7 linked regions of the Macaca mulatta genome follow. The protein of the gene in region 5 purifies or fractionates together with the protein of the main gene of each other region. This does not show direct contact. Links are inferred from orthologs where the notes say so. Each region holds a gene or a part of one and is shown on either strand. Other genes may lie near its edges.

What was found.
Region 1: the proteins of HNRNPU (region 5) and BTRC purify together in Homo sapiens (affinity purification with mass spectrometry; 6 studies listed by BioGRID and IntAct, with this or other methods). This does not show direct contact. The link is inferred for Macaca mulatta from reciprocal best matches to the Homo sapiens genes HNRNPU and BTRC.
Region 2: the proteins of HNRNPU (region 5) and MRPS9 purify together in Homo sapiens (co-immunoprecipitation; 3 studies listed by BioGRID and IntAct, with this or other methods). This does not show direct contact. The link is inferred for Macaca mulatta from reciprocal best matches to the Homo sapiens genes HNRNPU and MRPS9.
Region 3: the proteins of HNRNPU (region 5) and HNRNPA2B1 purify together in Homo sapiens (affinity purification with mass spectrometry; 4 studies listed by BioGRID and IntAct, with this or other methods). This does not show direct contact. The link is inferred for Macaca mulatta from reciprocal best matches to the Homo sapiens genes HNRNPU and HNRNPA2B1.
Region 4: the proteins of HNRNPU (region 5) and RPS3 fractionate together in Homo sapiens (co-fractionation; 3 studies listed by BioGRID and IntAct, with this or other methods). This does not show direct contact. The link is inferred for Macaca mulatta from reciprocal best matches to the Homo sapiens genes HNRNPU and RPS3.
Region 6: the proteins of HNRNPU (region 5) and PRMT1 purify together in Homo sapiens (affinity purification with mass spectrometry; 4 studies listed by BioGRID and IntAct, with this or other methods). This does not show direct contact. The link is inferred for Macaca mulatta from reciprocal best matches to the Homo sapiens genes HNRNPU and PRMT1.
Region 7: the proteins of HNRNPU (region 5) and HNRNPA0 purify together in Homo sapiens (affinity purification with mass spectrometry; 3 studies listed by BioGRID and IntAct, with this or other methods). This does not show direct contact. The link is inferred for Macaca mulatta from reciprocal best matches to the Homo sapiens genes HNRNPU and HNRNPA0.

Annotation. Positions count from the first base shown.
Region 1 is NC_133414.1:113,598,323-113,601,822, forward strand, and holds part of BTRC (F-box/WD repeat-containing protein 1A), read left to right. Parts: intron 1-812; coding exon 813-999; intron 1,000-3,500. UniProt on the Homo sapiens protein: Substrate recognition component of a SCF (SKP1-CUL1-F-box protein) E3 ubiquitin-protein ligase complex which mediates the ubiquitination and subsequent proteasomal degradation of target proteins. Recognizes and binds to phosphorylated target proteins.
Region 2 is NC_133418.1:13,170,666-13,174,165, forward strand, and holds part of MRPS9 (small ribosomal subunit protein uS9m), read left to right. Parts: intron 1-196; coding exon 197-376; intron 377-3,500.
Region 3 is NC_133408.1:102,195,106-102,198,605, forward strand, and holds part of HNRNPA2B1 (heterogeneous nuclear ribonucleoproteins A2/B1), read left to right. Parts: intron 1-566; coding exon 567-686; intron 687-920; coding exon 921-1,043; intron 1,044-1,704; coding exon 1,705-1,766; 3' UTR 1,767-1,787; intron 1,788-1,943; 3' UTR 1,944-3,500. UniProt on the Homo sapiens protein: Heterogeneous nuclear ribonucleoprotein (hnRNP) that associates with nascent pre-mRNAs, packaging them into hnRNP particles.
Region 4 is NC_133419.1:75,815,685-75,819,719, forward strand, and holds the start of RPS3 (small ribosomal subunit protein uS3), read left to right. Parts: upstream 1-1,235; 5' UTR 1,236-1,265; coding exon 1,266-1,295; intron 1,296-2,158; exon of another isoform or gene 2,159-2,306; intron 2,307-2,458; coding exon 2,459-2,589; intron 2,590-3,404; coding exon 3,405-3,498; intron 3,499-4,035. UniProt on the Homo sapiens protein: Component of the small ribosomal subunit. The ribosome is a large ribonucleoprotein complex responsible for the synthesis of proteins in the cell. Has endonuclease activity and plays a role in repair of damaged DNA.
Region 5 is NC_133406.1:4,250,634-4,254,133, reverse strand, and holds part of HNRNPU (heterogeneous nuclear ribonucleoprotein U), read right to left. Parts: intron 2,404-3,500; coding exon 2,264-2,403; intron 1,329-2,263; coding exon 1,229-1,328; intron 794-1,228; coding exon 681-793; intron 231-680; coding exon 1-230. UniProt on the Homo sapiens protein: DNA- and RNA-binding protein involved in several cellular processes such as nuclear chromatin organization, telomere-length regulation, transcription, mRNA alternative splicing and stability, Xist-mediated transcriptional silencing and mitotic cell progression.
Region 6 is NC_133424.1:62,140,888-62,144,249, reverse strand, and holds the end of PRMT1 (protein arginine N-methyltransferase 1), read right to left. Parts: intron 3,147-3,362; coding exon 2,996-3,146; coding exon of another isoform or gene 2,904-2,995; intron 2,604-2,903; coding exon of another isoform or gene 2,546-2,603; exon of another isoform or gene 2,325-2,545; coding exon 2,203-2,324; intron 787-2,202; coding exon 703-786; 3' UTR 501-702; downstream 1-500. UniProt on the Homo sapiens protein: Arginine methyltransferase that methylates (mono and asymmetric dimethylation) the guanidino nitrogens of arginyl residues present in proteins such as ESR1, histone H2, H3 and H4, FMR1, ILF3, HNRNPA1, HNRNPD, NFATC2IP, SUPT5H, TAF15, EWS, HABP4, SERBP1, RBM15, FOXO1, CHTOP, MAP3K5/ASK1, MICU1 and NPRL2.
Region 7 is NC_133411.1:146,603,424-146,607,020, forward strand, and holds HNRNPA0 (heterogeneous nuclear ribonucleoprotein A0), read right to left. Parts: upstream 2,253-3,597; 5' UTR 2,084-2,252; coding exon 1,172-2,083; 3' UTR 501-1,171; downstream 1-500. UniProt on the Homo sapiens protein: mRNA-binding component of ribonucleosomes. Specifically binds AU-rich element (ARE)-containing mRNAs. Involved in post-transcriptional regulation of cytokines mRNAs.

The sequences.
Region 1 (3,500 bases), on a different chromosome or scaffold from region 5:
CTTTAATTGGAAAGCCCTTCTGGTTTGTACGCCCCAGGATCTATTCTCCACTATTTTCCTCTGCACCTCCTACAGAATATTCTCTGAAATGCTAACCAAGTTATCTTTTGGTCTGGAATTTTTTCATTTTTACTCAACTGTCATTTAGGTTTTATAGCAGCAGCTACTCTCAAATATAGTTTTGTTTTTTTTTTTTAATCTGAAATTATACTCATTCTTGAACTTAAACATACATCTCTGTCTTTCTCTTGGGATATTTCCATGCCATTCTATATTTCCTTCTTCTCTCCTTCTGCATGCCCAAAATTCTATAACCCAGCACATTCTGACTTAGTGCCTCTCCCCCAGTACATTTAAAGGATATTTCTTTAACCGAACAGCTTTGGAACTGCAGCAGTAATAGAAACAGAATGAGAAATGGACCTAATATAGAGATTTGGGGGGGTCTGAATCATAGAGTTTGAGATGCCATCCATAGAACATCCCCTAGTGCTGAAATCCATATAGATAGATGTGAATTGTTTTCTGGAATCCTTTTTATTTTTAATGTCTTGGGGGGTTTGCTGGTTGTTAACTTTAACTTCCTTATCTAAAGGAAGATGGAAAATACTGTTCATTTCTGTAACCTTATGGAAAAATTATTGACACTCATTTTACCCAAGCCTCTGTTTGAAAAAGAAACTGGACCACACTAGGGACAATGATGTGCCTTCATAGCAGAACAAATGCTGTTCTGTTTTAAAGGACCTTTTGTAAAAAATCATTCACCACCCTCTGTGTTCTTTTTCTTTGCCTCCTCCCTCTCCTGAAAGCTCGGGGTTTGGATCATATTGCTGAGAACATTCTGTCATACCTGGATGCCAAATCACTATGTGCTGCTGAACTTGTATGCAAGGAATGGTACCGAGTGACCTCTGATGGCATGCTATGGAAGAAGCTCATCGAGAGAATGGTCAGGACAGATTCTCTGTGGAGAGGCCTGGCAGAACGAAGAGGGTGGTGAGCCTTTAACTTTTCTTACTATTACATGGCTTCAGGACCTGGCCAGTCACAGTCACTGAAAGATTTTTGGGGAGCCAGTGAGACCACTTCTCATTTAATATGGTGATTTTGTTGATTTGCAGCTTAAAATGTAACAGAGAACAAGTATTCATGTACTCAGCAGTTTTTCTTCTTACCTGTCACTCACAAAATGACATGATATTGTATTAATACTGCTTTGCAAAAAATAATGGAAAGTTTACCAGCCCTCCTGTTTAAAGCATTCTGTTATCTGGGCAGAAGTTGGTATCCTGCGGCTGGGTACAGTGGTTCACGCCTGTAATCCCAGCACTTTGGGAGGCCAAGGTGGGCAGATCACTTGAAGCCAGGAGTTTGAGACCAGCCTGGCCAACATGGCGAAACCCTGTCTCTACTAAAGATTCAAAATGTAGCCGGGTGTGGTGGCATGCACCTGTAATCCCAGCTACTCTAGAGGCTGAGGCAGGAGAATCGTATGAACCCAGGCGGTAGACGTTGCAGTGAGTGGAGATTGAGCCATTACACTCCAGCCTAGGTGACAGAGCGTGACTTTGTCTCCAAAAAAAAAAAAAAAAGTTGGTATCCTCCAAAAGGACTGATGGGCAATTTATGAGCCAAAATAAAGTAGATGACTTTGAATCACATAGAAACCATCCAGGATAGCTTTCCCCTAAAATAATCCAAGACAAATGATTTTCTTTTCTTTCAGAAAATTTATTGCCTTTATCTTATGCGTCTGGTGTTTTGTCACCTTTGTAATCAAAAATTATTTTTATGCTCAAGTGGAATAAGAACTCTAGCCATCAGAAAAAGTGAAAATGAAATTCATTATAAATCATTGTTTCTTCTTAAGACTTCTGTTTTTCAAGATTTTCTGACTTAATTCCGAATTCCCCAAAGCATCATATAGTTAGCAGTCTAAGAGACCTCACTACTTTTTTTGTTGTTCTCTTAACAGTGCCATTTCATTAGAACTTCTGAAAGATATCTTTCCTTAAATAATTTTCTCTCAGAGTATGTCTCTAGAATGTCACTATAGGAAAGCTACGTAGTAATAAAGGTAACATTAAATATTCTCGTTGACAGAAAACATTATAATAGGCATGTGTGTGCTTAGTGGTGTCCTTCCAAATTAATTTTATCTGTTGTTTATCTTGGATCATAAAGAGGAAAACAGTTAAAAATAGAGAACACTTGTAAAAGATAAATATTCATGGACCAGCTTTCCTTCGAATTTTCATTAAATATATTTGGGTCTCTTTCTTTTTTTCTGTCTTTGAAATTTATTAACACCTAGTAAATACAACGACCTATATTATACCAAATGCTTCAGAGATTTTTATCATTCTGGCTATTAGGAAGACTGTTTAAATTTTTCTCTCAAATCGAATTAAAGGAACAAAAAGCTAGGCAATTTTTAGGCTATGTAGAAAAGAATATTGTTGGCCAGGCAGGGTGGCTCACGCCTGTAATCCCAACAGTTTTGGAGGCCAAGGCAAGAGGATTGTTTGAGCCCAGGAGTTTGCGACCAGGCTGAGCAACATAGTGAGACCTCATCTCTACAAAAAAATCAAAAAATTAGCTGGGCCTGGTGGCGCATGCCTGTAATCCCAGCTACTCAGGAGGCTGAGGCGGGAGGATGGCTTCAGCCTGGGAAGTTGAGGCTGCAGTGAGCTATGATCATGCCACTGTACTCCAGCCTGGGCAACAGAGCAAGACCCTGTCTCTTTCTCTGTCTCTCTCTCTCTCTCTCTCTCTCTCTGTCTCTCTCCCTCTCTCTCTCTCTCACACACACACACACACTCACACACACACACATATTACTACTTCTCAAATATATTTTTTAATTCTCACTTATTTCACTACATAGAAAAATAGCAATCTTTCATAACCTACTTCATACTTTGGAAATAAACTCTTTAATAGTACAACAAAGCAAATAAAAATAGAGTTATATGGTATTCAGGGTCCATCATTTTGCTGAGTGCTGGGACCAGCCTTGAGGATACAGCAGGCAACTGTTTACATGGGAGAATTTTAGGGCAGCTGAGAAGATTTCTCTGTCCCTCAGAAAAAAAGAATCTCTTCTCCAAATAACTCCTGAAATTTCAATTAAGGGGATTCATTCCTTTAGCTATAAAGGTTCTGTTCCCTGTTAAAATACATTGTGTTCCCATTTGGACTGTAAATGACAGTAAACCTTCATCAGACATTGGGATTTTGCTGAGTCCTTTTTTGAAGGCAGAAAAATCAAGAAGTAAGTAGGCAGTTCTTGGCAGATGGATGTGAAAATGCCAAAGTAAATGGTAACTCTTAAAAGTATAATAAAAGACCACTTGGGAAAAGTCAATTTTCTTAATCAGCAGATCACATTTTATGATAACATTCTGAATTTAATATTTAACATTTATCATGTACTCACATTCTCGTAGGTACTAGGCATTTCACGTAGAAGTAGTCCCTGTTGTCAGAGATCTTCC
Region 2 (3,500 bases), on a different chromosome or scaffold from region 5:
GCAAGCTTTTGAGCAGGGGACAGATTCTAACAACTTTTTTAGCAGACCTTTTAAACTTTTTTTTTGGACTCTTGTCACTTGAATACCATAATAAAAGAAGACAATTACTCGCATATATTATTTTATTTAAGGACAGTGCCCTAGAAGATCACAGTCTAATTTATTTCCTTTTCTTTCCATCTGTATTTTCTGTTAGATATTAAGGCTAAGACATACTGCAGTTAGAACAACAAAGAAAAATGTTCCCGCCTCAAAACGTGAAACTTACACAGAGGATTTTATTAAAAAGCAGATTGAAGAGTTCAACATAGGAAAGAGACATTTAGCCAACATGATGGGAGAAGATCCAGAGACTTTCACTCAAGAAGATATTGATGTAAGTACAGTTACTCTGTTGGAAAAGTAATTGCTGTAGAGTTTTAGATATTAAAAGCACTTTTCTTCATGAGCCCCTTAGCTCTGTGTTTTAATCAAGCTGTCAGAATAAAGAAAAATGCTGCTATCCATTGCAAGTTGGGGCCACAGTTTCAAAGACAAATGTGCAGGATTTACATAGTGTGGTGAGTTTTAGGTGTTACCTAGAAATGAGTCTATAAATGTTCATACACTATTGGGAAATGTTTAACCTATTGTGTAGTCTTAGACTCAGCTTTCTTACAAAATGATAAAACAGATGATAATGAAAATAGAGTCAAATTTATATCAAGTCCCATAAGTAAACCTTGGCCCAGTGTTTTTGTCAACTTAAATATATATCTGAATTTTCAAAATGGGGGCATAGTCTAAGTGATTTGAAAATTAGGATCAGAATTCTATTCACTCTTGAATTATTATATTCCTGATAAGAGCAATAATTGTTGATAGTATTTTTGCTGGACATCCTAGAGTAGCTAGCAAAGGAAGTTGAATTTAACAACTTTGAATCTTGTCCTTATTTTAAAAAAGTAACATCTAATATCCCATGATGTTTTATATTTAACCGAAGAACAACATCTTTGTATAGATAATAACATTCTTACATGATTTTAATATTATTTTTAGTCATTTTGTGCACTTTAGTTTAATTTCAATCTTTTTGTATACCTTTCCTATTTATAAATGGTACTGAAGTATCACTTTCAGGCCCCAGAGCAACATTTTTTATTCAACCAGAAGGATTTCTTTCTTTCTTTCTTTCTTTTTTTTTTTTTTTTTTTGGAGACGGAGTCTTGCTCTGTTGCCCAGGCTAGAGTGCAATGGCACAATCTTGGCTCACTGCAACCTTTGCCTCCCGGGTTCAAGCAATTCTCCTGCCTCAGCCTCCTGAGTAGCTGGGCTTACGGGCATGTGCCACCACACCCAGCTAATTTTTGTATTTTTAGTACAGATGGGGTTTCAACATGTTGGTCAGGCTGGTCTTGAACTCCTGACCTCTGGTGATCCACCCACGTCAGCCTCCCAAAGTGTTGGGATTACAGGCGTTAGCCACTGGGCCTGGTCCAGAAGGATTTCTTATTGCTCTTCTAGGTTAGGTGATTTGTAGTTAGGGATTTTGTAGCTGCTGTCCTCTTTTTGAATTTTATGGTAATCTGGACAGTATTGGGGGATATTATCTATGAAGAGATGCTATTCTTCAGTTATGTATAAAATATCATGAGATGTTAGATATTACTTTTTAAAAATTAGAACAAGGTTCAAAGTTCTTAAATTTAAATTTGATATTACTTTTTAAAAATTAGAACAAAGTTCAAAGTTCTTAAATTTAAGTTCCTTTGCTAGCTATCCTGGGATGTTTAGCAAAAAAAAAAATTATTGACCGTTATTGCTTTTATCAGGAATGTAATAATTGAAGAGTGCAACAGGAATAGAATTCAGGTCCTAATTTTCAAATCACCTAGAACATAGACTCTCTAGACTCTAGGTTTGTCTACCCCGGACTTTCATATAAGTAGAATCATATAGTATTTGGTCTTTAGTAACTGGCTTCTTTCACTTAGCACAATGTTTTCGTGTTTATCTGCATTGTGGCATGTGTCAGTACTTCATTCCTTTTTAATACTGAATAGTTTTCGGTTGTATGGATATACCACATTTTACAAATTCAGTCATCAGTTGATGGGCATTTGGGTTTCCACTTTTGGTTATGAATAATGCTACCATGGTGCATGCTGTAAAGTTCTTGTGCAGACGTATGTTTTTATTTCTCTTATGTATATACCTTAGAAACCATTGCTAATCCAAGGTCATGAAAATTCACCCCTGTATTTTCTTCTACTAGTTTTGTAGTTTTAGCTCTTACATTTAGGTGTTTGATCCATTTTAAGGTTATTTTTGTGTGTGATATGAGGCAGGGGTCTAGCTTTGTTCTTTTCCATGTGGACATTCAGTTGTTCCAGCATCATTTGTTGGAAAGACTATTTTTTCCCATTGAATTATTTTGTCACTCATATTGAATATCAGTGTAACTGTAAGGGTTTAATTCTGGACCTTATTTTATTCCATTGATCTATACATTTATCCTTATGCCAGTACCACTTTGTCTTGATTACTGTAGCTTTATAGTAAGTTTTGAAATTGGGAAGTGTAAGTTCTCTTCTTTCCTTCTTGCTTTTCAAGATTATTTTGGTTGTTCTTTGCTCCTTGAATTTTCATATGAAATTTTAGGATCAGCTTGTCAGTTCCTGCAAGGAGCCACCTAAGATTTGGATAGGGATTGTACTGAATCTCTAGATTGATTTTGAGAGTATTCCCATCTTTATGTTAATTAAGTCTTCTGATCGCTGAACATGGAGTGTCCTTCTATAGATACAGATCCTCTTTAATTTCTCAGTGATGTTTTGTAGTTTTCAGAGTCTAAATTTGGCACTTTTTTGTTAAATTTATTCCTAAGTATTAATGCCTTAGAAACTTCTCTATTGTAAATAGAATTGTTCTCTTTTATAATATTTTTGGGTTTCTTATTGCAACTGAATACAGTTGATTTTTGTTTATTTTTTATTTTGAATCTACATCCTTGCTGAACGTACTAATTCTCATAGTTCTTAGTGAATTCCTTGGGATTTTCTAAATATAGGATATAGCAAGATAGCGCATATATAGAAGGGTGTAGCAGGATATCCCATATATTTATGAATCCCAAAGAATCCACTAAAAACTACGAGAATTAGTAGGATATTTCAACTGCAAATGGAAATAGTTTTACTTCATTTTTCCTAATCTGGATACCTCTATTTCTTTTTCTTACCTAATTTCCTTGGCTTAGAACCTCTAACAATGTTGAGTAGAAATGGCAAGAGTGGGCGTCCTAATTTTGTTCCTGATCTTGGGGGAAAGCATTCAGTCATTCACCATTAAATATGATGTTGGCTGTGGGTTTTTCATGGATGCTCTATCAGATTCAGTAAGTTTTTTTCCATACCTAGTTTGTTGAACTTTTTTGTTGTGGTGGTTAGTGTTTTTGTCACGAAATGGTATTGGATATTGTCAGATTCTCTTCCATTTTGATGATTTGGTTTTGTCTT
Region 3 (3,500 bases), on a different chromosome or scaffold from region 5:
ACAGGCGCCTGCCACTACAACCGGCTAATTTTTTGTATTTTTAGTGGAGATGGGGTTTCACCGTGTTAGCCAGATGGTCTTCTTATCTCTTGACCTTGTGATCCACCCACCTCAGCCTCCCAAAGTTTACAGGCGGGAGCCCCCGTGCCTGACCGAGAACATTGTTTTAAAAGATGTAATTCGTAGGGAGACATAATAGAAACTTTCTTTTGGGCCAGTAGGGGGAAGTGCTCTTTTACTTTCTCCCTAACCCACACTGCTAGTCTAGCCTCACAACCTTACCCACTATATACATGTAGTATTTCAAGATAACTTAAGATTTTTAGTATTGAGGGAAAGCTGTAGCGTTACAGGTATTTAAGTGGGTACACATGGTGTTATCCATTTGGCTGGGTAGGCACTCTAGCCACCACATGTTTACCAAGGGTAGGTATTCAGTCCTTCAAGCTGTTTTAGAGGAATTTCATTGAATGTTTCACATGCAAACTTGGAAATGGATGTGAGGAGACAGTTCAAAATGGCATTGAAAATATTAAGTGATTACTTAAAGGCTTATTTTATAATAGGTGGCAATTTTGGAGGTAGCCCCGGTTATGGAGGAGGAAGAGGAGGATATGGTGGTGGAGGACCTGGATATGGCAACCAGGGTGGGGGCTACGGAGGTGGTTATGACAACTATGGAGGAGGTAATAAATTCACCTGCAACCTTTATGTGGGAATTTGGAATTAATGGCTTTGTAATACTTGATCTTTTATTTCAATGTTTGTCACTAGATAAAGTGTTTGCTTTTGTTTTTGTGGGAGCTTTGTCCTAAATCCTTAGCATGTGTCTTTGGTTTAATGTTTTTCTGGTTTAATGTTCTTTTGGTTTAATGTATTGTTCTGAGGTCCATTATACTAGTGTTCCAATTTTTTTATAGGAAATTATGGAAGTGGAAATTACAATGATTTTGGAAATTATAACCAGCAACCTTCTAACTATGGTCCAATGAAGAGTGGAAACTTTGGTGGTAGCAGGAACATGGGGGGACCATATGGTGGAGGTAATTTATAACAATTGAGATTTTTCAGATGTTTGTGATTAAAGGATTAGCCTTTTGTGACTTAAAGGGAAAATAACATACTAAATAGTTTGGGTTGTGGGATATACGGTCTTAGTGAAAATAAAGAAATTTTGCATAAATCTCCACAGAAGTACTCAGCAAGCAGTTACAACATCAAATTGGGATTAGGGGTGTTGGAGGTGGGGAAGTTCAGTAGTTCAATTTCTGGTGGGGGCTGGTAAACAGCTAAGTAAAATTGTAACCCACATTGCAAGTGGTGTAAATTGGAATGAGGGTCTTTGAAGTTAAATTATTAAACCATGATTCAAACCATTGCTTAGCTTATTCTTGAGGTTTTTAGCAGGAGTAAACATTTTCTGTGTCTTGGTCTTGGTGTACTTTAAAAAAATCCCTTAGTCCAAATGAGGATGAGAGGACCCTTTATTTAAAAGAATAGCATAGCATCAGCCACGAAATAAAAATGTCTATGAACCTGAGTAATTTATCTCCCAAGTAATTCTGCTAACTGGCTGCAAAGGGTTAGGATCTGCTTGTTTTTATTAAAGACTGGATGGATAGAAAATAGAATCAGCTGTAGTGTTATAGTGATTATGGGAAATCAAAGTAAGTTTGTTTTCTCTTGCTGTTCCAACAATTATAGGAAACTATGGTCCAGGAGGCAGTGGAGGAAGTGGGGGTTATGGTGGGAGGAGCCGATACTGAGCTTCTTCCTATTTGCCATGGGTAAGTAGCTTTTGAGTTTTACAATTATTATTATCTTGGGAGACATAGCTGCAGGAGTAAAAGCTTTTTAGGATCATGTTATCTTTCCTTAAAATCTGGTTAGATGGATAATTTCATAACCTATTTTTTTTTTACTCTTTACTTCTGTTGAAACAGGCTTCACTGTATAAATAGGAGAGGATGAGAGCCCAGAGGTAACAGAACAGCTTCAGGTTATCGAAATAACAATGTTAAGGAAACTCTTATCTCAGTCATGCATAAATATGCAGTGATATGGCAGAAGACACCAGAGCAGATGCAGAGAGCCATTTTGTGAATGGATTGGATTATTTAATAACATTACCTTACTGTGGAGGAAGGATTGTAAAAAAAAAATGCCTTTGAGACAGTTTCTTAGCTTTTTAATTGTTGTTTCTTTCTAGTGGTCTTTGTAAGAGTGTAGAAGCATTCCTTCTTTGATAATGTTAAATTTGTAAGTTTCAGGTGACATGTGAAACCTTTTTTAAGATTTTTCTCAAAGTTTTGAAAAGCTATTAGCCAGGATCATGGTGTAATAAGACATAACGTTTTTCCTTTAAAAAATTTAAGTGCGTGTGTAGAGTTAAGAAGCTGTTGTACATTTATGATTTAATAAAATAATTCTAAAGGAAATTGTGTAATTATAGACTTTTTATTTTAAATAAGTTAAGGAGTGGGTAGTATAATTAAGGTCCGTTGCAAAGCTGTTGTTATATTTGTATAAGATAAATGCTGGTCAGATATAAGTGTGTTGTCTGCAATTCATCAGGATTAAATTATGTAGATAACTTAAGGGATATCTCTGCAAGGAGAAACACCTTTTTAGATCTTTTAGATGCTGCTTCTTCAATGCAAGGAAAGGAAATAACCCCAGCGAGGTACTCTTCAGGGACACAGGTCTAGTACAAGAGAACTCTTGACGGCTACTAAGTTCAGCCAGTCTTAAAAAACTGTGCTGTTTCTACAAAACTTTAACTACAGTAGTTTTTAAGGATGCCAACGAAAGCTGAGGGTGTAGAGCAAAATAGTTCTAAGCTTCAGTTAAACTTCTTTAGGTAAGATCTTATTTACTTTTCCTTTCTTAATTTTCCTCCCTAAAAGATAAACTAATACTCTTAAATGGTCTTTCAGTATAGTGGTTCTTACGTAGTTTAACATAGCTATAAATTGAGTTTAACAATTTATAAACTCAAGAGAATAATTTTTATAAACCCTGTTTTCCAATCTGTCATTTACTTAAATTATTTTGGTTGTTTTTCCCTTTTTTTCCTTCTTTTCCTACCCCCTCCCCCTCCGTGTGAAGATTTGGGTGCTTAACATATCATTTTTTTCCCTGCTGGAATTTTAGCATTGATATGAACCATGGACAAGTATATTCTGCTGCCACAAAGACTGTAAAGTGCTTCATTTCAACAGCTGAGGCAAGCCAAGTGATCATTAATAAAGCTTTTCTTGGTTCCTTCAGTGGTGTTGGTAGTAAAATGGTAGGTAAAAGTTAGGCTGCAAGTTCAATAAATCATGAGATTTCCCATCGTTACACCCTTGTGTATTCACATTTCTTGGATCAAACATTTTGAGTGAACTAGGGGTTTTTATTAAAGACATTTGTTGTATTTATGGTTGTAACTGTACATGCTTATCAGGAAGAGACTGAAGGTAGGGCAAAAATGGTTGAATCTATTTTCAGATAGTAGT
Region 4 (4,035 bases), on a different chromosome or scaffold from region 5:
GGCAACGGGAGAGAAAAGAAAGAAAGGAGAGAAAGAGAGAGAAAGGAGGGAAGGAGGGAAGGAAGGAGGGAAGGAAGGAAGGAAGAGAGGGAGGGTGGGCGGGCACACGAGCCACTCTCTGGGACTTCTGTTACAAATTGTAATGGACTTGATGAAAGTAAGGTGGAGTAAATGAAAACAACATAAAGGGCACAGAACACAGTCCCTAGGACACTTAGTAAATATCAGGTTTTATTATCATTTGGAATGGAGGAAATGGGCACAGACTGGGGACATTCTTTTTTTTTTTTTTTTTTTTTTTTTTTTTGAGACAGAGCCTCACTCTGTCGCCCAGGCTAGAGTGCAGTGGTGGGATCTCCGCCCACTGCAACCTCCACCTCCCGGGTCCAAGCAATCCTCCCACCTCAGCCTCCTGAGTAGCTGGGATTACAGGTGCCTGCCACCACGCCCAGCTACTTTTTCTATTTTTAGTAGAGACGGGGTTTCACCATGTTCGCCAGGCTAGTCTTTAACTCCTGACCTCAAGTAATCCGCCCGCCTTGGCCTCCCAAAGAGGAGTCTTAAATGAATTTCACTGAGGGATTTCAGCAGATTTTCATTACAATATCCACCCTGAAAGTGTAGGGGCCAGAGTTCCACGCTGGTTAAACTCTGTTGCTGTGTGAACTTATACCTGTAATTTCCACCTCTGCACCTCGCATTGCTTGTTTTTAAACTATGAGAATTGAACTCGCGGCCGGGCGCGGTGGCTCAAGCCTGTAATCCCAGCACTTTGGGAGGCCGAGACAAGCGGATCACGAGGTCGAGAAATCGAGACCATCCTGGCTAACACGGTGAAACCCTGTCTCTATTAAAAAATACAAAAAACTAGCCGGGAGAGGTGGCGGGCGCCTGTAGTCCCAGCTACTCCGAAGGCTGAGGCAGGAGAATGGCGTAAACCCGGGAGGCGGAGCTTGCAGTGAGCTGAGATCCGGCCACTGCACTCCAGCCTGGGCGACAGAGCAAGACTCCGTCTCAAAAAAAAAAAAAAAAGAGAATTGAACTCTAAGATCCTCTGAAGTCTAGCAGTCCTGCTGGTCGAACCCCCTTTACTGTTCCTGCCTACACTCTTCCTTCCCTTGACGCCTTCTTTACGTAAAAACTACATTTCCCATGAGCACCCATAGGCGTCCACGTAGCGCAGCCCTCCGCCGTCGCTCGCGCCCTTTATACTCACTTCCGCCCGCCCGCCACTTCTTTTTCTTTCGGCGGAGCGCGGCGGCAAGATGGCCGTGCAAATTTCCAAGAAGAGGAAGGTGAGCCTCTGGGGACTGGGTTCGGGGAACGACTGCGCCGCGAGGGTCAGGGGCTTCTCGGGTGCCACCGCGAGGCCTGCAGCTCCGTGCCCTGCCCTGGGAAGCGGCTTAGGCTTCCTGGCATTCCCACGGGCCGCGGATGGCGGTGGATTGAGTGAGAGGCCCGAGCCAGGCGGGCGCTGTGTGGCCGGGTAAGGGAGAGACAGGTTTTTCTCTGGTTCCGAGTGAAGCGCAGAGAGATGGGGACCAGGCGCCCCTTCTGTCCCGGAGAAGGCGTTTGTGAGCATTTTTTGGTCAATGGAATTAGTAAACGTGGTATTTTGAGGGCGTGTGTCATTTCCCTCATGTCTTATCCCATGGTTTTGGGAAGGGGAGGCAGCAGTGTATACTTGTCTTCTTACTGGTCGAGTCTGGGTACAGTCTGCTGGTCCCACGACCTCAACATGAAGGGTTACTGACGATTGCTTGCTCCGTCTGAGGACCCCGGGAGGAAGCTGCCTCGGATTTAACGCTTTGTTATTCCATGGGAAAGAACTGTGTAAAAATCATTAGCTTTAAAAATAGACAGTTTGTCATTTCGTATACCTACACTTCGATGTTAAAATTAAATCCACAACTCTTGTGAGTTAGGATTTTCCAGCTCTGTTTACAGTTAAAACCACAGGTACCGTAAGGCCAGATAACATGGCTGGGATTCTTTAGACGGTCCAGGTTGTGTCTGCAAGTGAGAGAGCTTATGTTAAGTCCACTATCTATTCTGTTCCTTCACAGTGACAAGTACAGTGTCTTTGCTGTGCTGAGTGAGGTGTAAATAGGCTATTTTAGAGCAGTTTCTTGTTTTGCATGTGGAACTGTTTTAAACCCTTCGATGAAGAGATGATGACGAGTCTGACTTGGGGGTGTTGCCTTCGCCCAGGTTGCCTACTCTGTGCTGCATTCTGTGGCACAGTTTAAAGGGCCCTGGTTGAAGTAACTTCCTAAAGATGACCTAGAGGCATTTGTCTGAGAAGGGTTGCTGCACTCCTGTTGGAACAAGGGTTTGGAACCATTGGTTGGAGGTATTTAGTTTTGGGGAGGGATGCATTGACTAATAAGACACTGGCTCAGGCGAAAGTGAGCCTACACCGATGTCCTAATTTTGAACTTCGCTTTTTTTGGATTAGTTTGTCGCTGATGGCATCTTCAAAGCTGAACTGAATGAGTTTCTTACTCGGGAGCTGGCTGAAGATGGCTACTCTGGAGTTGAGGTGCGAGTTACACCAACCAGGACAGAAATCATTATCTTAGCCACCAGGTAAAACTCACTTGACTGGCCATCACCTATAATTGTTGTAAATGCTAAGTTGGTTTATTCCTTTTTTTGTGTGTGTGAGACAGAGTCTTGCTCTGTCCCGAAGGCTGGAGTGCAGTGGTGAGATCTCTGCTCACTGCAAGCTCCGCCTCCCAGCTTCCTGCCATTCTCCTGCCTCAGCCTCCTGAGTAGCTGGGACTACAGGGGCCAACCACCATGCCCGGCTAATTTTTTGTATTTTTAGTAGATTCGGGGTTTCACTGTGTTAGCCAGGATGGTCTCAATCTCCTGACCTCGGGATCCGCCCACCTCAGCCTCCCAAAGTGCTGGGATTACAGGCATGAGCCACCGCGCCTGGCTGGTTTGTCCTTTGTGAACTTAAGGGGATAGACAGCCAGTGAGTCTGGGCTTAGTGAATGTAATTGCTTCTTAAAAGCTGGATTTTAAGGCCAGGCATAGGATCGCTTGAGCTCAGGAGTTCAAGACCAGCCTGGGCAACATGCGGAAACCCCCTCTCTAAAAAAGATAAGGTTGTGGTGGTGCACACCTGTGGTCCCAGCTATTCCAGAGGCTGAAGCAGGCGATGGCTTGAGCCCAAGAGGTCCAGGCTGCAGTGAGCCATTGGTGTGATCCAGCCTGGGTGACAGAGAGAGACCCTGTCTCAAAAAAAGCTGCATTTTGAAAATTTAACTTTAGTTTTTGTCAATGAAAATTATATGCTTTGTGGCAGAGATTTTGCTACCACATATATATTGCAAGATTTAAAGTTAAATCTAGCATTTGTGAGAGTCATGAATTGTCACTTTTTCCCCGCCCAGAACACAGAATGTTCTTGGTGAGAAGGGCCGGCGGATTCGGGAACTGACTGCTGTAGTTCAGAAGAGGTTTGGCTTTCCAGAGGGCAGTGTAGAGGTGAGTGATTCTGGCGTATGCCAGAGATAATGGCTCTTCAGAATGATAACTTCTAAAAACTGGGAGACTTTGTTCATTACAAATGGACTGATACAACTTTGTTGAAATTCTCTTAATGAATAATGGGCTTAACTTTGTAAGCCTGTTCTGCTAATGGTTGATAGTTAAAGGATTTTACATTCAACTTGGGTATAGAAATGATGCATATGATGGATTGACTGTCCCCATTGGTGTAGTTGGTATGGCCAAAGGAGCCAGGGTGGGAGGGCAAGGAACCTGCACTGTGTGTAGGTGGTAGAAGTGCTTTAGGAATTGAGGGATACTGAAATTATATGCTGTTTGTGATGGTGTTGTGCAGTCTTTTGGCCTCCGTAGGCCACGTTGGAAGAATTATCTTGGGCCACACTACTGGTAGTGCAAAAAATCACGATGTTCAATTTTTGTTGGGCCACAATCAAAGCCATCTCCTGGGCAGCATGCGACCTCTGGGTTGGGCAAGCTTGGTCTAGAAAGTGATGCTTGTGTGACATGCCAAAT
Region 5 (3,500 bases):
CCTCTAACTCGATCCTCTAAGGGGACATTCTGGATAAAAGTATACTCTTCAGGTATTGGAAAATATGGCTTTTCCTTCTGACCAAAATTAAATTCAACTGCACAGTTGTGGCAGAGAACATGCGGGAAGAGTGGCCGTCCAGCAAGAACTTCCTTACTGATTTTGAAAGCAATGCCAAGATCTTGTCCATTCTTAGCATAGGAGAGTTCTACTTCATCACTTTCAAAGTTCTGTTAAACAGCAAAAAATTCAAGTTATCTGCTTCCTATAAACTTTCTAAAAAACTAATAATTAAAATTAGGAGCAAAGCTTATCCTGTGGGAGCTACAGGTTAAACAACTATTAAGTGGCCTCTAAGGGCTACACAGTTAAGAAATCTGATGGTTACAAACAATGAAGCACGTATCTCCAGAACCAGAAACAATAGTGACCTAGAAGTTAGACTAAATTTTCTAGGTCAATTTCATCTTCATTGTTTTCAGTCAAAATGAAATTAGTGAGTTCCTCAAAAATGTCCTGTATTTTCCCAATTCAACTGCTGAATGAGTATTTATACTAACCCAGGGACTGGTGTATTTATGTTGCTCCTATTGAAGATTGACCTTAATAAAGCTTCTTAAAAGTTCCTAGATATAGCTACTAATTTGCCATTTATACATAGAAAGTTAGCTTTAACTTACAGCAAAACATGTAATCACATCATTTTCATCAAACTTTTCTCCATAATCTTCAGTCTCACAGTTGCATGTTTTTATTCCTTTTAGAGAATACCCGTAAGAAAATTCTTCTTCACCTAAGAAAGTAATTAACCTTCGTGAAGTAGATTTTTAAAATAGTCCAAAGACTCATCTATTTCACTACTTAAAATGTAGGCTACAAGAGAAATGAGCATATAACCTAATCACCTGTCACTGACACTATTACTTTTCTACCTCTGTACTAGAATTGATGAAAGTTAGGAGGGATATATATATATGCAGAGACCAAATTAGTTGACAATTTGCATATCATGGGTAAGATTTTATTTCAACCATAAACTTCTAATAAAGGAACAAAAACTAAAATGTAGCCTGTGCCTACTATGTGCTAATATTACTTGTCTGAAGTATTAACAGAATAGATAAAAACAGACAAAAGGCTTAGAATGCCTTCTAGTCTGGTTAAAAAATAAGGATATCAGACCCTCCTAAACATTCATGAGCCCACATCAGTCAAAAAGAATCTTTACCAAGTAACATTCCACTTGTAGTTAGTGACCAGCCAATACGAACTTCATGTATGTCAATATCTTTTGTATATAAATGCCTTACTGGGATCTTCTCTGTAACCTGAAAGTCGAATCATTAAATAATTAAAATCATAAACCAAGGAGGTAACCCCTTAACTCTGGCTTATTTCATAGGGTCATGAGCTAATCTTCCTCGAGCTATAAATACAAAGAGATGGCACACTCTAGCCCATCCCTAATATTTGTAAGAACTTTAAACTGATGTGCTTATAACTTGAAATGTTAAATACTTATTTGACCCATATTTAAAAGAATAGTTAATATTTTTACAGTTCATGTTGTCAGTCTTCAACTTAAAGCCAATTAAAGGATACATTTAATGTTTTTCTCGCCAACAAAACCTGTAATCTAACCAAATTTTATTTTTCACTCTTTGGTGGCCCTTTCAAATGCTTGATAAAAATGAAGTACCCTAAATAAAAAGTTGCCTAGCTCTGCATGTCAAGTTCTAACATAACTTAACTGTCACAACAAAATGAAGGTTCCAAGTTCCTCTTTTAATTTACAGGAAGCTTCAAAAAATAAGTACCTCTGATAACTTAGCAGTATGAAGCACCTGTAATTTCAGTATTCTGGGAGGCCCAGGCAGGCAGATCACTTGAGCTTACGAGTTCAAGACCAGCCTGGGCAACATGGTGAGACCCTGTCACTATTTTAAAAAGAAAAAAAGAAAAGAAAAAAAAAGGCTGGGCGCGGTGGCTCAAGCCTGTAATCCCAGCACTTTGGGAGGCCGAGGTGGGTGGATCACCTGAGGTCAGGAGCCCCGTTCTCTATTAAAAATACAAAAATTAGCCAGGTGTGGTGGCACGTGCCTATAGTCCCAGCTACTTGTGAGGCTGAGGCAAGAAGAATCACTTGAACCCAGGACGAGGAGGTTGCAGTTGAGCCTGGGTCACACCACACCAATCCAGCCTAGGGGACAGAGTGAGACTCTGTCTCCAAAATCAAACAAAAACATCATAAAATTGCATTTACCTTCATCTCAAAACACACTTTGCCTTTTGACACACCATAAGATGCTCTTCCTCCAGCCCAAAGAAAAGCAAAACTTTCCATTGTAAGGGAAGAAGCACTGAGACGATCTCTTGATATTTTAAAATGTAGATCACAATTATCTGTAATTATATCAAATACTGTGTTACTTTTGACATCCAATGTAAACATATATGCTATGTAGAGAAAACTTGGTTATTTAATTTTTGCATGTACTTAACGCTGCACAACTTTTCTCCACATCATGCTGTTGTTCCAATTTTCAGTTTAAAGCCCCACTCCCACCAAGTCACTCCTTTTAAATTATGTACTGAAAAGTAAACTGCCTCTGAAACTAATACCAAGGTTTAACATGTATATTTTAAGTATTTAAAATAATCAAGACAATGTGACATTAATACATACCTGCTCTGCTCTTTACCTTGATTTAGAGGCAAGCAGTAGAGGATAGCAGGAAATCAAAGTGAAGCATGCCAGAACCAGGTAGATTTACCAGTGCCACATTAAAACTGAAGGGAGGCCACGACCAAATTATTTTGAAACAGGAGTATGAGCTGCTGTTGATCCTGCACCAGGGCTCTAGCTCCTAAATTCTTCTTCTAAAACTTGTGAAGAAGACAGCCTAAATCTATGAAGTACAAACCTGGCCGTCTAATGCTGTTAATAGTGCAGCATTTTAGGTCCTCTTTACCCAGGACTGCCTGTTCAACAATTAGGGATTAACTGCTTCCCGGATTATCCAAATCCAAAGTGTCTTTAACCTAGCTACCTATGGGTCACTGGCTCATTAACATGCACCTTCTCAGACTTCTCACTTCAACAGCTAAAGTCAAGCTGGAATTCAATTTTTTTTTTACTGATCAGAGAAAAATAAATCTACAGTTTGGAATTTTTCTTAAATTAGAATTACTGTAATCAGCAGAATTTAATTCAACAGATTGTTTGAATTCAACATTGTGTTTATATTGACATATGCCTATCTGATTTGCTAAAAAATCTAACAATTACATTACCTGCATGAGTCACCACTTCACTACCTTGCCAATTCCTAGCAACTTTTTATTTACACAACCCAGAATTTCACATAAAACTTTCAAATCAACTAACTCCTTTTTCACCTGCAGTTTTTTACTTTAAAAAGGCTCAGATGACTATCTCAACCTTCTGTAAAGGACATTCCAGTAAGAAAGAGTTTTACATTTACACTCTTACAAATCTG
Region 6 (3,362 bases), on a different chromosome or scaffold from region 5:
GCTGCAGAGGGCTGGGCACAGTTGGGCCTTGGAGGGACCCAAACAGGAAAAAACAGCCAGAGAGGTACAATGTGAGTGTTGGGGGAAGGTGGGGAGACTGTTCTGGGAAACTTGAGGGCTGGCTGTGCTGGAACGCCAACCCCATCCCCCACCAGGCAGGAGGACACAGGGGCACTGCAGAGGGGAGGGGCGCAGACCCAGGAGGGGATGAAGAGTGGGACAAAGACCCTGAGAGACAGCTGTGGATGGGAGGGAGCCTGAGAGAGCCGTGGAGGGGAGGGAGCCGGAGGGAGCCTGAGACAGCCGAGGAGGGGACAGACCCTGAGAGAGAGCCGTGGAAGGGAGCCAGAGGCCTAGCGACAGGGGAGGGGAGATGCAGATCCACAGAATGGCAGCCACCAGCAGGCTCCAAGGCCGGTCCCCCCACTGCTCAGGCTGGCACCTCAGCACCTGCGAAGGAAACCCCAAACCTCCTTTGCCCCCAGGAAATGGAACCAGACCCCAGCTGAGGATTTATTGGCGTAAATGCAACCATATAAAAACATAAGTTATGAAAAACACAGTCACGATGTGCCCTCCCCATCCCCCCAGCCCAGGCCCCTAAAACCCCCTTCTGTGGGAAGAAGGGAGAGGAAGGGGGAGCCCCGAAACCGCCTAGGAACGCTCAGCCCCTGGGCCCGTGCAGGGCGGGAGAGCCGGGCCTCAGCGCATCCGGTAGTCAGTGGAGCAGGACAGCTCGCACAGCTGGCCCTTGAAGTCCAGGTCGATGGTGAAGTCCAGGTCCCGCTGTGGGGAGAGGGCGGGCATGAGGGCGGAACCCACCAGGAGGTGGTGGCAGGGGGGTGCAGGCAGGCCATGCGCTGGGCTCCAGCTTCCTGCCCATCTCCACACTGCAGACCCCAACTGCTGGTCCCACCCTAGCAGCTGTCCTGACCCTGTCAAGGGACAGCGCCACGTGGACACCCTCAAGCCCACTAGGTTCACTCAGGAGCAGAGCCTGGCTGCTATCCCTTGCCCTTGGATTTCTCCATCAAGACGTTCCCTATCAGCAACGCAGTGATTGCTTCTTTCATAAATCAGAAAACCTCTCCCAAGCCCACTTCTGCTCAGGCAAACATTCCAGTGAAACGCAGTGGTCCAGCCTCTGTCTCCACTTCTCCTCCCAGGCTTCCGGAAGACCCCCCATACCCTCCAGCACAGGAAGAGGGGATCAAGTTGCCAACAGCCCCGAGGACTCCTCCTCCCTCTCCAGTATCTGTTTCCCAGCTAGCGCCGTGGCCCCAGGGGCTACAGGAGTCTTTGCAGGGGGTGGTCCTGTGGTTGTAGGACGTTTACCAGCCCCTGGCCCCTACATACCAGATGCCAGGAGCACCCCTTCTCCAGAGTGACAACCACAAATGTTTCCACAGATGGTGACGAACGTCCTCTGTCGGGGGTGGGGGGCACTGAAACTGCCCAGCTGACAACTGCTGCTGTCACGGGCTCGAGGGCGTCCCGGGGCCCACATTCCATGACTGCCCTGAGTGCCACCCACCCTCGCACCCATGGGCCGGGACTCACTCTTCCAGCCCACACCACTCCCGGTGACTCCAGGCTCCCGGCCTTCCATCCTCCTGCCTGCTCAAACCCGCCACACTGGACCTCTCTGCCCAGACCCTCTCTCCCAGAAGCCCCCCCCAGCTCCCCTGGAAACCCCCTGATCTCAGGTGATGGCAGCTCCTACCAGGTGCTCAGGAGGAAAAAGGGGGAGTGGAAAACAAAAAGCTGCCTTTCTCCTCCTCTCATGCCTCCCACCTGGGCTAGCAAACCCTGTGCGCTCTACCGGGGCCGCCTCTTGCCCTGGAGGTCACCCACGCCAACACCTGTCTGCCCTGCTCCCAGCCTGACAGACGTCACCTCCCACTGGCATCACCATGTCACTGATCCCCTTGTGTAGACTGGAAGCACCAGGAGGACAGGGCTTTGGCCTGGGTCCCCAGGCCCATCTTCCAGTAAATGCTAAGAAATCTGCTGTGTAGACAGGCGTGGGGCTGAGGGGCTCAGGGACCCGGGAACAGGCAGAGGCACTCGCCCCTGCCAGCTGCCCCCATCCGCCCCAGCTACCCCCATCCCCTACGCTGCCACCATTCCCCCCTACCACTGCCCCTATCCATGCTCCCCACCCCGGCTGCCACCCTCCTGCCCAGCTGCCCAGAGCCTCACGTTGTTCTTGGCATTGGGCCGCATGCCGATGGTGCCGAAGATCTCCTCGCCCGTCTTCACGGTCAGGTAGTCCTCCATGTAGAACACTGTCTGCTTCCAGTGCGTGTACGGGGACTCAGGGCCTGGGGGCGCAGGCGGGTCAGCTGGCCTTGGCCTGCTGCCCTGGCCCCAGTCTTGTGTTCCCTCTGTTGGAATGTCCACCCCCCTGACAGCTGACGGGACTGCTGTCCGTGAGTCACCTCCCTGTCATTCAGCTTTGGAGACAGGGACCGTGTCAGGCTTTTGTGGATGAGGAAACTGAGGCACTGCACACTCAGGTCACTTGCCCAAGGCCATGTGACTGCTACATGGCAGAGCTCACGCTGGAACACACATGTCCCCATGGCTCCCTCTGCCCGTTTCTTTTTTTTTTTTTTTTTTTGAGACGGAGTCTCGCTGTGTCTCCCAGGCTGGAGTGCAGTGGCGTGATCTCGGCTCACTGCAAGCTCCGCCTCCCAGGTTCACGCCATTCTGCCGCCTCAGCCTCCCAAGTAGCTGAGACTACAGGCGCCCGCCACCATGCCCGGCTAGTTTTTTGTATTTTTAGTAGAGACGGGGTTTCACCATGTTAGCCAGGATAGTCTCGATCTCCTGACCTCGTGATCCACCCGCCTCGGCCTCCCAAAGTGCTGGGATTACAGGCTTGAGCCACCGTGCCCGGCCCCTCTGCCCGTTTCTGTCACCCCCTCCACTATGTGGGTGCCCCTCGGCCCTGGCTCAGGAGCAGCCCCCAGCCCTGCGGGCCCCGCCTCACTGGTGGAGAAGCCCGTCCTCTTGTGGCAGCGCGTGAACTCGATGTTGAAGTAGGCCACCAGGGCGTGCACGTAGTCATTCCGCTTCACTTGCAGGCAGAACGGGGAGGTGAACGTCAGGTCTTCCACCTTGACGGTGTAGATGTCCACCTCCTGCAGGACAGGAGAGGGTGAGCTCCGGGATGTGTCCCCACCTCGCTTCATCCCCTCCTCCCTCCCTCAAGCTCCCAGAGGGCCTGTGACCTCACTGTCCCCTTCCCGCTGGCCCTCCCTTACTGGCACCCAGCCTCAGCTCCTCATTCACTCCTCATCCTGACTGTCCGGCTCCCAATAAACCGCCTCGGTTTGAGCCCAGATTCTTTGCTCCCT
Region 7 (3,597 bases), on a different chromosome or scaffold from region 5:
TCTATATCTGATGCAATTGTCCTAAGCAAGTTTTTAAACAAATTGTTTCGCAGCTACTCTGCCATTCTGCCAGTAGGTGGTGCTACAAAGATCGGGAAAAGGATTTCCATGAGGACAACAGTTCAGATATAGAGGGGGAAAAAAACCGTTTAAACCTGCTCTGAAAGTACAAAAACGCATCTGAGGGTAAAATATAACCCTCATTTTTAACCATTCATTACAGATAAACCAGTAAGAGGGATGAAACTAGGCCATCTGAAAAATTTTAAACAGTTTATATGAATGACATGCTTAACACAAACTATATAGAACTACACAGTACACAGTTTGAAGTAAATTGTCATAGAAATGACCAACCATGTCAAGATGGTAAGCAAATCGCTTAGTACAAGAGATGGATGCACAGAAACTTAAGAGTTTAAAAAGCCACATCCACCACTTCAAAAGTTTTGCCTGTAGGGGATATAATTCAACACGCAACTAGCAGGGCAACGGGGGGCGGGGGGGGGGACCACAGGACCTCTTAAGTTTCTCTAAGTACACATCAAGAATAAAGAATTAACACGTAAAGTCTTAAACAAATATCCCTTAAAAACGGTACGGAATGGATCCTAGAAAAGAAATGTTAGACATGTACGGTCAAACACAATGATTTATTAAAAATAAAACGTAAAAATGATTTTTGTACATATGCTTCCAAATTTCAGGCATGGGATCCAAGTAGATTTCATAGAAAACGCTGTAGCCAGGTTATCAAGTCCTTACAACAAAGTAAACTACCCCCCACCCCAACCCCCGCCCAGGTTTTGCTACAGAATCAGCAAGTTCACTCCCTCCCTCCCCCCAAAAAACACAAATTAAAACAAGACATTTTGCTAGTATAAAAACGACCAAGGTCCAAGTAATAATAAAAAAATAGAGTCCATCAATGACTGTAACACAAAAATGTGTATGTGGGGCCGAGTCCATCTTCAGAGGGAGAGACAAGAGAGGTGGCAGGCAAATAGAGGAACACCCCCAAGGGTAAGCAGCCTTAGAAGTGGCTCCCCCAAGGGCAAAACAGGGAAGGCGGTGGTGTGGGTGTGAGGGGGTGGGGCTTAGGAGTTGACCCCACTTGGGTTTTTGAAAAGAGCTACCCCAATAGCCACTCCCAGGCATTTTAAATTTTCTTTTAGAAGGAGCTCCCTCCATAGCCACCCCCACCTCCATAGCCGCCTCTGTAAGGTCCACTATTACTGCGACCGCCCCAGCTGCTGCCTCCGCCGCCGCCGCCGCTCTTCATGGGCCCGTAAGAGGACTGATGCTGACTGTAGCTGCCGAAGCCGCCGAAGCCGTTACCGTAGTCGCTCCCACCGTAGGACGAACCGCCGCCGCCGCCTCCGTAAGCATTGTAGCCGCCGCCACCGCCGCCGCCGTAACCACCGTAGCTGTTGTAACCGCCGCCGCCGCCCTTGGAAAGGCCGTTCTGGTCTCGACCACCGCCGCGCCCCCGGCCGCCTCGGCCGCCCCGGGAGGATCGGGAGCCGCCTCCACCCCCACCGGAGTAGATATCCTCCTTGGGGACTGCCTTCTTCACCTCCACGCGATGGCCCTGAATCGGATGGAACTTGACCACCGCGGCCTTGTCTGCCGCGTCGTGATTCTGAAAATACACGAAGCCGAATCCACGCTTCTTGCCGGACTGCTTGTCGGCAATAATCTCGGCCTTTTCCACGGTGCCAAACTGCGAGAAGTGCTCGATCAGGTCGCCCTCAGCCACGTCTCCCTTAAGGCCGCCGACAAAGAGCTTCTTAACCTTGGCGTGGGCACCGGGCCGCGCCGAATCCTCCCGGGACACCGCCCGCTTCAGCTCCACAGTGTTGCCGTCCACGGCATGGGGCGAGGCGGCCATGGCGGCGTCGGCCTCCTCCACATTGGAGTAGGTCACGAAGCCAAAGCAACGGGAGCGCTTGGTCTGGGGATTCACCACCACCACGCAGTCCGTCAGAGTCCCAAAGGCCTCAAAGTGGCCGCGCAGGCCCGACTCACTCGTCTGCACATTGAGGCCGCCGATGAACAGCTTACACAACTGGGAATTCTCCATCTCCAAGGCTCGGGCCTTGCCCCCGCCCTGCGAGCTCCGAGGTTTCGCCGTCGCCGCCGTTATCGTTGGTTAAGGCCTCTACACAGCTTGGGCCCAGCCGCTGCTGGAGCCACCCCCGCCGGTCACCGACAGGGAAGGGAAAAAGGGAAGGGGAGGGAAGGAAGGAAGAAAGGAAGGGGGAGGGAAGGGGAGCGGTGCCGGCGAAAGGGCGAGCCGAGGAGACTGGAAGACAACCAAGGCCACCGCTACCGCCGCCGCCACCTCCGCTCCCCTATCTGGGCACCACACAAAGAGGCCGCTGAACGCGCGCGCACCCTCCCCGAGGCGTGCGTCACCGCCGACGTACGGCAGCCTAGGGCTGCCCTCCAATCCCCGCCTCGCTCCCCTTAATCCCGCCTACCGCGCCGCAGCGCCGCTCTAGATCACGGACTCCCCGCCCTCCGCGGTCTATTCAAGCCCGCGGCCTGTGCCGCTCCCGCCTCCCCTTCTGCCAACCCGCTTTCATTCCCGAGCGCCCTATTGTCCCTTGACATGGGTCCCTCCCTGCCCTCCGCGCACCGCCGCGATTCATTTCCTCCTAGCACTGCGGCTGTTCCCAGTGTTTCTCCCCCTCCCCTTTCCTCATCTCCGCGCCCAACTCCGCAGTGGCGTTCGCGCCAGCCCCTTGAGAGACATGTCAGTTCAGCCAATCACCGTGATCCCCTCGCACCCACTTCCGTTTTCGGCAGCTGTTGGACGGGCGCGCTCCCCGGTGCGCGCTTGCCCCGGCGCCCCCAGCGTGCAGAACCTGTCTGCCACCCCCTCGCCTTCTGCAGCCCAGGGCTTTGCAGGGGAGAGAGCAGGAGGCGCGCTGGGGGCCATTCCCAGCGGATGCGGCCTGGGGCGCCATGCGCGGGCTTTTTGAAAACTTGACGTTGGGGTTGGGGGCCCGGATCTACCCGCCGCCTTTCCGCTTGTCCGCTACACCTGGCGTCCCCGCCCCACCTCCCGCCCGCACAAAGATGGAGGGCAGAGGCCTGGTCCACGAAGGCGGTTATTAACCGTTTACGGTGGGCCGACATGCGGTTAAACTAAAACTCTGCCACGTGGCCCTGCGCAAAAGCGAGCCCGAGGCGGCGGTGTGAAAGACAACGGAACCAAAGAGCTTCAGACATTACGAACCAGACGAGGCGCGACATCCCTGCCACCATCCCGCCATCCTTGAAGCCCTCCCACGACGCCCTCTCAGAAGGAGGCCCTTTCAGGTCCCCTTGGCATACTCCAAAATTTTCATTTAACCTCAGTGAATGGGTTTTTATGTGTAATTTACATCATCCATGTGTTGCTTTCTTTCAACTAGAATGTTAGTTTTTTGTTTTTGTTTTTGTTTTTTTTTGAGATGAGTTTCACTTTTGTTGCCGAGGCTGGAGTGCAGTGGGGCAATCTCGGCTCAGCAGCCTCCGCCTCCTGGGTTCAAGCTGTTCTCCTGCCTCAGTCTCCTGAGTAGCTGAGATTACAGGCGCCCACCACCATGC